Sus scrofa: one gene and its partner. The protein of the gene in region 1 purifies or fractionates together with the protein of each later gene. This does not show direct contact. Links are inferred from orthologs where the notes say so. Each region holds a gene or a part of one and is shown in the gene's direction. Other genes may lie near its edges. The genes, in order: APOB and VCP.

Region 1 (3,823 bases):
AGCTATACAGAGAGAATTGAAACACATCAACATTAATCAACCCATGAGGAAATATGGAGCAGCCTTGGACAAATTCCCACAGCAAGTTAATGATTATCTGAGTACATTCAGTTGGGAAAGACAAGTTTTGAGTGCCAAAAAGAAACTAAGTGATTTCATGGAAGATTATAGAATTACAGAAAATGATGTACGAATTGCATTAGACAATGCCAAAATCAACCTTAATGAAAAACTAACTCAGCTACAAACATATGTGATACAATTTGATCAGTATATTAAAGATAATTATGATTTACATGATTTTAAGACAGCTATTGCTAGGATTATTGATGAAATCATTGCAACATTGAAAATTCTTGATGAACGTTATCATATCCATGTAAATTTAGTAAAAAAAATCCACGATCTGCATTTGTTTATTGAAAAGATTGGCTTTAACAAAACTAGAAGCAGTACTGCATCTTGGTTTCAAAATGTGAATATTAATTATCAAATCAGACTCTGGATACAAGAAAAACTGCAACAACTCAAGGCCCAGATTCAGAACATAGACATTCAGCACCTTGCTGAGAAGTTAAAACAACAGGTTGAAGATATTGATGCCAGAGTGCTTTTAGATCAGTTGAGAACTACAATACCATTCCAAGAAATAAAGGAAGTTATTGAGCATGTCAAATACTGTGTTAAAAGTCTTTTTGAAGATTTTGAAGTAACTAAGGAAATCAATGCATTCAGAGCCATGGTCCATGAGTTAATTAAGATGTACAAAATAGATGAACACATTCAGGTTTTAATGGACAATTCAGTGCACTTGGCCCACCAATATAAGCTGCAGGAGACTGTTCAGAAACTAAGCAGTATCCTACAACAAGTCAAGATACAAGATCTTCTTGAGACACTGACCTGGTTTATTGATGACACTCTCAAGCAGCTTGAAGCATTGTCTTTCCAACAATTAATTGAAGAAGTAAACAAATTCCTTGACATGTTGGTAAAGAGATTAAGGTCATTTGATTACCACCATTTTTTAGATGAAACCAATAAGAACCTTCATGAGGTGACTCAAAGAATCAACGGCAAAATTCAGGCTCTAGAACTTCCACAGAAATTTACAGCACTCAAACTGTTGTCAGAAGACATCAAGGCCTTGATCTCAGTCCATCTGGAAAACCTAAAGGCCACCAAAATAACCTTATTCTTTGATTGGTTACAGGGAACTCTAAGTTCAACACCCATAGTTCACATGAAAGCCAAATTCCACGAGACCCTAGAAGATGTACGAGACCGAATGTATCAAATGGACGTGCAGCAGGAAATCCAGCGATACCTGTTCCTGGTTGGCCAGGTTTACAGCACGCTTGTCACTTACATCTCTGACTGGTGGGATCTCGCTGCTAAGAACCTTACTGACTTTGCAGAGCAGTATTCTATCCAAGACTGGGCCAAAAACCTGAAAGCACTGGTAGAACAAGGGTTCACTGTTCCTGAAATCCAGACCACCTTTGGGACCCTACCTGCCTTTGAAGTCAGTCTCCGTGCTCTTCAGGAGGCCACATATCAGACCCCTGACTTCATCGTCCCTCTGACAGATCTGAAGATTCCATCGGTACAGATAAACTTCAAAAAGTTGAAAGACATCGAAATCCCATCCAGGTTTTCCACGCCAGAATTTACTGTCCTCAATACCTTCCACGTCCCCTCCTTTACAATTGACTTGGTGGAAATAAAAGCAAAGATCATCAGAACCATTGATCAAATGCTTAACAGTGAGCTGCAGTGGCCAGTCCCGGAAGTATACCTGAGGGATCTGAATGGGGTAGAAACCATGCTTGCTAGAATCACTCTACCAGACTTGTATTTACCAGAAATCAGAATTCCAGAATTTGTAATCCCCAACCTCAACCTTACAGATTTCCAAGTTTCTGACCTTCACATACCAGAATTCCAGCTTCCCCACATCCCACACACAGTTGAAGTACCTGCTTTTGGCAAGCTGCACGGCATTTTGAAAATCCAGTCTCCCCTTCTCATATTAGAGGCAAATGCTAACATTCAGAACATAACTACTTCAGAGAACACGGCAGAGATGGAGGCTTCCTTCACTGCCAAAGGAGAATCTAAATTTGAAGTTCTTAATTTTGATTTTCAAGCAAATGCACAACTTTCAGACCCTGAGATCAATCCGCTAGTTCTGAAGGAATCTGTGAGGTTCTCCAGCAAGTACCTGAAAACAGAGCACGGCAGTGAAGTGCTATTTGTTGGAAATTCTATTGAGGGAAAATCAAACACTGTGGCAGGTTTATACACAGGAAAAAATACACTGAAACTTAGTAATGATGTGCTCCTCAAGGTAAATAATCAGCTTACCCTGAACAGCAACACAAAGTACTTCCACGAATTGAACATCCCCAAACTGGACTTCTCAAGTCAGGCCGACCTGCGCAGTGAAATCAAAACCCTGCTGGAAGCTAGCCACATAGCATGGCGTTCTTCTGGGAAAGGGTCCTGGAAATTGGCATGCCACAGATTCTCGGACGAGGGAACGCATGAGTCACAAATCAGCTTTACTGTGGAAGGACCCATTACTTCCTTTGGATTGTCTAACGAGATCAGAAGCAAACACCTAAGAGTAAACCAAAGTATGGTGTATGAATCTGCCTTCCTCAAATTTTCCAAATTTGAAATCCACTCACAAGCTGAGTGTCAGTACGTGGGCCGCAGTGTCCTAACTGCTAAAGGCATGGTCCTACCTAGAGAAAGGAAAGCAGAGATAACTGGCAACCATGATGCTCATTTAAATGGAAAAGTTATTGGAACTTTGAAAAATTCTCTTTTCTTTTCAGCACAGCCACTTGAGATTACTGCATCCACAATCAATGAGGGGAATTTGAGAGTTAGTTTTCCATTAAAATTGACAGGGAAGATAGACTTCCTGAATAACTATGCACTGCTTCTGAGTCCTAGTGCTCAGCAAGCAAGTTGGCAAGCGAGTGCCAGGTTCAATCAGTATAAGTACAATCAAAATTTCTCTGCTGTAAACAATGAGAGAAGCACCGAGGCCCACATAGGAATAAATGGAGAAGCCAACCTGGATTTCCTAAACATTCCTTTAACAATCCCTGAAATGACTCTACCTTACACAAGGCTCACAGTTCCCCAGGTGAAAGATATCTCCTTATGGGAAAAGACAGGCTTGAAGGAATTCTTGAAAACAACAAAGCAATCATTTGATTTAAGTGTTAAGGCTCAGTATAAGAAAAACAAAGACAAGCATTCCATCCCAAATCCTCTGGACGTATTTTATGCATTTATCAATCGAAACATCAATTCCTTCAACAGGCATTTTGAGACAGTCAGGGACAAGGCATTAGATTTTTTTACTGAATCCTATAATGAAATAAAAATTACATTTGATAAGTACAAGGTTGAAAAACCCCTCGACCAGCAACCCAGGACCTTTCAAATTCCTGGCTACACTATTCCAGTTATCAACATTGAAGTGTCTCCATTCACAGTGAAGATGTTGACATTTGGCTATGTGATCCCCAAAGAGATTAGCACCCCAAACATCACCATTCTGGGTTCTGGCATCTCCGTGCCCTCATACACCTTAGGCCTGCAGTTCCTAGAGCTGCCAGCCCTTGATGTGCCTAGGAATATTCTTCAGATTTCTCTTCCAGAGTTGGCGGTATCAGGTACCTCAAACAAAATTTTGATTCCAGCCATGGGCAATATTACCTATGATTTTTCCTTTAAATCAAGTGTCATCACACTGAATACCAATGTCGGACTTTATAACCAGTCAAATATTGTTGCTCATTTT
Region 2 (3,823 bases), on another chromosome or scaffold:
CAATGCCAGATCCTTAACCCACTGAACAAGGTGAGGGATCAAACCTGTGTCCTCATGGATGCTAGTCAGTTTCATCTCCTCTGAGCCATGACAGGAACTTCTGGTTTTGACTTTTTGAACCAGCTCCATGGAGTTGTGTCTTTTCAAAGATTACCGTGAAACTCCCTTTAAGCTTGAGCTTTGTTCTGGTGAAGATTCTAGATCTGTTAGTGTCAAGTATTTATTTTTTTTCAAATATGATGGTCTTTGTGCTTTGCATTCCTGTGGTAGGTAGAAGGCTCCTGACATTCAGCAGGTTTATCTGGTAAGGAGAGTAGCACTAATAATTTTGCTTTATTGTTCCCGGGCTTGTTTTGTGGGTCTTGGAGCCTATGGGAGGTTGCCTTGCTCACTTTGTTCTATAAGAAGGTTAGCAAAGAAAGAGCTTATGCTGTGTTCTGCAGTGCTAATCATAGTGACCGTTGATACCATATGCATTTTGTTGAGCATTTTGTGTTCATTACACTCTGAGATAGGTACTACTATAGTCCCCATTTTATAGATGAGGACGTCAGCCTCCAAAGAGGTTAAATAAGTTGCCCAAAATCACAGTTAAGCTCTGGCAGGGTTGGGATTCAGACTCAACAAGTCAGACTACAGGGACGCTTCTCTTTTTAATCACCATTCTATGCTGTCTAAGACTATTTTTATTTCTCTAATTATTGCTCAGGCTTCACTTTTTTTTTCCCCCTCTTTTGGCTGCCCGCAGCATATGGAATTCTAGGGCCAGAGATCAGATCTCATCTGCATTTGCCATCTATGCTGCAGCTGCAGCAATGCCAGATCCTTAACATGCTATGCCAGAGATCAAACCTGTGTCCTAGCGCTCCAGAGATGCCACTGATCCCATTGTACCACAGTGGGAACTCTTCAGCCTCCACTTTTACTCTTGTCATCTTAGTTTCCTGACCCTGGGACAAGATCGCCTGGGGCCACGCAGCTAGGATACCAGGAGTGCTCAGAATACTGAGTTGCCGAATGAGGAATTGTAACATAGACTTGATATTCTTCTTGACCTTGGCTGAATTGCTTTTCATCTGAGTTCTTGGTATAGGCATAGCTTCATCTATCCACTATTTCTTTCCTAAGTGTGAGTTATAGAGACTGGTGGGGTCCTCAGAGCTGGAGTAAGTTTTAGAACTGACTTCATTTTCTCTTTCTAGTTCCAAAGGTGATGATTTATCAACAGCCATTCTTAAACAGAAGAATCGTCCCAATCGGTTAATTGTTGATGAAGCCATCAATGAGGACAACAGTGTGGTATCTTTGTCCCAGGTAAGTTGGGTCCGCAGTGCAATTTTTACTTATTGCACTTAACCTGAGGGCTTTTCCCAGGTTTCTTTTCTCATTTTTCTTGCAGTGACCACAGATAGAGTGGGGTTTACTGGGAATCCCAACCTCCAGGGCTGCTGCTTACCCCCTGGCCCAGTGACCCAAAGGCCTTAACCTTCTTTCCTCAGCCCAAGATGGATGAGCTGCAGTTGTTCCGAGGTGACACAGTGTTGCTGAAAGGAAAGAAGAGGCGGGAAGCTGTGTGCATTGTGCTTTCTGATGACACATGTTCTGATGAGAAGATTCGAATGAATAGAGTTGTTCGGAATAACCTTCGCGTACACCTAGGGGATGTCATCAGGTGTGTGTGGGGTTCTTGACCCCTCAGGGATGGGAGCCCAGAGACAGCCTGCTTTATAGGCAGTACCCCCACAAGGCCTTGGCAGCTACAGATATTGGGACCTTGCAAGCTATGGGACGACATAATGTGTTTAGGTTGTCTTAGGTTTTGATTTTGCCTCTGAGATTTCAAAATCTGCCTCTGCATGACCCTTGGGATAAGTTGGCATTTCTATGACTTTCTTGGTACTTTTGTTTTTTCCTGTCAAAAGTATAATTCATCATACCTTAGACCTTGGTTTAGGATGCCATCTGGAACCAGTAACCTTACTACTGTGTTGCATTAATGGCTTGTGTTGGGGCTGGAATGAGATGGGGATATGGGCATGGAAGGTAGACTCCTAGTAGATCTGTTTAAGGATCCAAGTTAACCTAGGAGAGATGCATAGTTTGAACCAGACCTAGGATAGCTCCAGTTTGAGTGATTTTAGACTTAACATTAAGGCAAGAAGCTTCCCCATCCTGGATTCATCTCTAGCCACTGCTCCCCAACCTTCTGTCACCTGACTAGGAACATCTCTGGCTTCTGATTCTTTTTCATGGATTCTAGGTTTCATGTAGCCTTCTTCCTGGAGGTGCTTAGTCACTTTCTCAAGGTGCTCTGACCACCTGATAAGATTATTTTTTCACTTCCATTTCTCTGACCCTGACACTTTTCAGTCTGAGGTTTCCCTTTTGTAATACTGGGTCACCGATATTAACCAGAATGGGTTATCCTTGGATATCGCTTACTGAAGACCCTTCCTCTTATGTCTTTGTGGGGGTTCTAGATGTGTAGATCTTCCTTTTGGCTCATAATTGCGAGCGAGCAGCCCCAGCAGCTTCTTCTAGCACCTCCCCCACCCCCACGACCCCACATGGCATATGACCTGTTCTGCTTGGCTGTTCCTTTGCCCTCACTTCCACCCTACCCTCTTACTGCTCTTCACCTAAAGCCATCCCTGCCTTTTCTCTTTGGCTCGTCATCAGCTCTCTGTGCCAGGCCCTTTCGGACACCCAGTGCTTGGGGCTGCAGTGTGGTTGGTAACGTGGAGTCTGCTTGTCATCCTCAGCATCCAGCCATGCCCTGATGTGAAGTACGGCAAACGTATCCATGTACTACCCATCGATGACACAGTGGAAGGCATCACTGGCAATCTCTTTGAGGTATACCTTAAGCCATACTTCCTGGAAGCTTATCGACCCATCCGGAAAGGTGAGACATAATTCTAGGGACTGTTTGTAGGATACCCAGGAGTAAACCTTGGGACACCTTTGTCTCATTCTCATGTATGTGTGCATACACACACATTCTGTACACATGTGCTCACGTGTACTCTCTCCTTCCTCCTCTTCCTCCCCACTCCCCGCTTTTCCCATTTCCACTCCTCACTCCAGTAAACCATCTTCTCTTTATTCGAAGGAAGAGGTGGGCCATTCTGACTATGTCACAGTCTAGAGTGTATTTACGATTTAGCACAGTTCTACCATTGGTGGTGTTTGTGAAAGTTTGGGTTATCTATACCCTAGAAGTCAAAAACCTGATGGGCTTCTTTCTGATACATTAGGTTGTTTACTGTCTTGAGTGGCAGAGGGCCTCTTATAGTTGAGCTTTCTCTTTTTGCCTGATGCTTAATATGATGGGGATGGGAAGGAGAAAGGGCAATATTTAGTGAACTTGGCACTCTAAACACTAGGTTCTGATGAGGGATTCTCACTTGGTCTGGTAATAGACACCTCTAACTGCTCTTGTGCTGACTGCTCTCACAGGAGATATTTTCCTTGTTCGGGGTGGGATGCGTGCAGTAGAGTTCAAAGTAGTGGAGACGGATCCCAGTCCTTACTGCATTGTTGCACCAGACACAGTGATCCACTGTGAAGGAGAGCCTATCAAACGAGAGGTAAGTTCTCTCCCTGGTCCTGGTACCATGCTTTGTGATTACTCAGTGGATCAGTCATGTGGTAATTCCAAAGAATTCCCAGGCTTATAGCCAGGCTTTTTCCCCGAGGTGGGAAACCTAGCGTTCATTTCTGGACCTAAGTGATTTTGAAAATATCTGATAACCAATAATTGTTAAAATGTAGATTGAACCTAAAAGGTCTAAGTGGTTGAAAAACTTTTTGAAGAACTGAT

What was found.
Region 2: the proteins of APOB (region 1) and VCP purify together in Homo sapiens (affinity purification with western blotting, with the first as the bait; 3 studies listed by BioGRID). This does not show direct contact. The link is inferred for Sus scrofa from reciprocal best matches to the Homo sapiens genes APOB and VCP.

What each region holds. Positions count from the first base shown.
Region 1 is NC_010445.4:117,306,676-117,310,498, forward strand, and holds part of APOB (apolipoprotein B-100), read left to right. Parts: coding exon 1-3,823. UniProt on the Homo sapiens protein: Apolipoprotein B is a major protein constituent of chylomicrons (apo B-48), LDL (apo B-100) and VLDL (apo B-100). Apo B-100 functions as a recognition signal for the cellular binding and internalization of LDL particles by the apoB/E receptor.
Region 2 is NC_010443.5:235,862,909-235,866,731, reverse strand, and holds part of VCP (transitional endoplasmic reticulum ATPase), read left to right. Parts: intron 1-1,202; coding exon of another isoform or gene 1,203-1,314; intron 1,315-1,399; 5' UTR 1,400-1,499; coding exon of another isoform or gene 1,500-1,505; coding exon 1,506-1,672; intron 1,673-2,762; coding exon 2,763-2,905; intron 2,906-3,459; coding exon 3,460-3,590; intron 3,591-3,823. UniProt on the Homo sapiens protein: Necessary for the fragmentation of Golgi stacks during mitosis and for their reassembly after mitosis. Involved in the formation of the transitional endoplasmic reticulum (tER).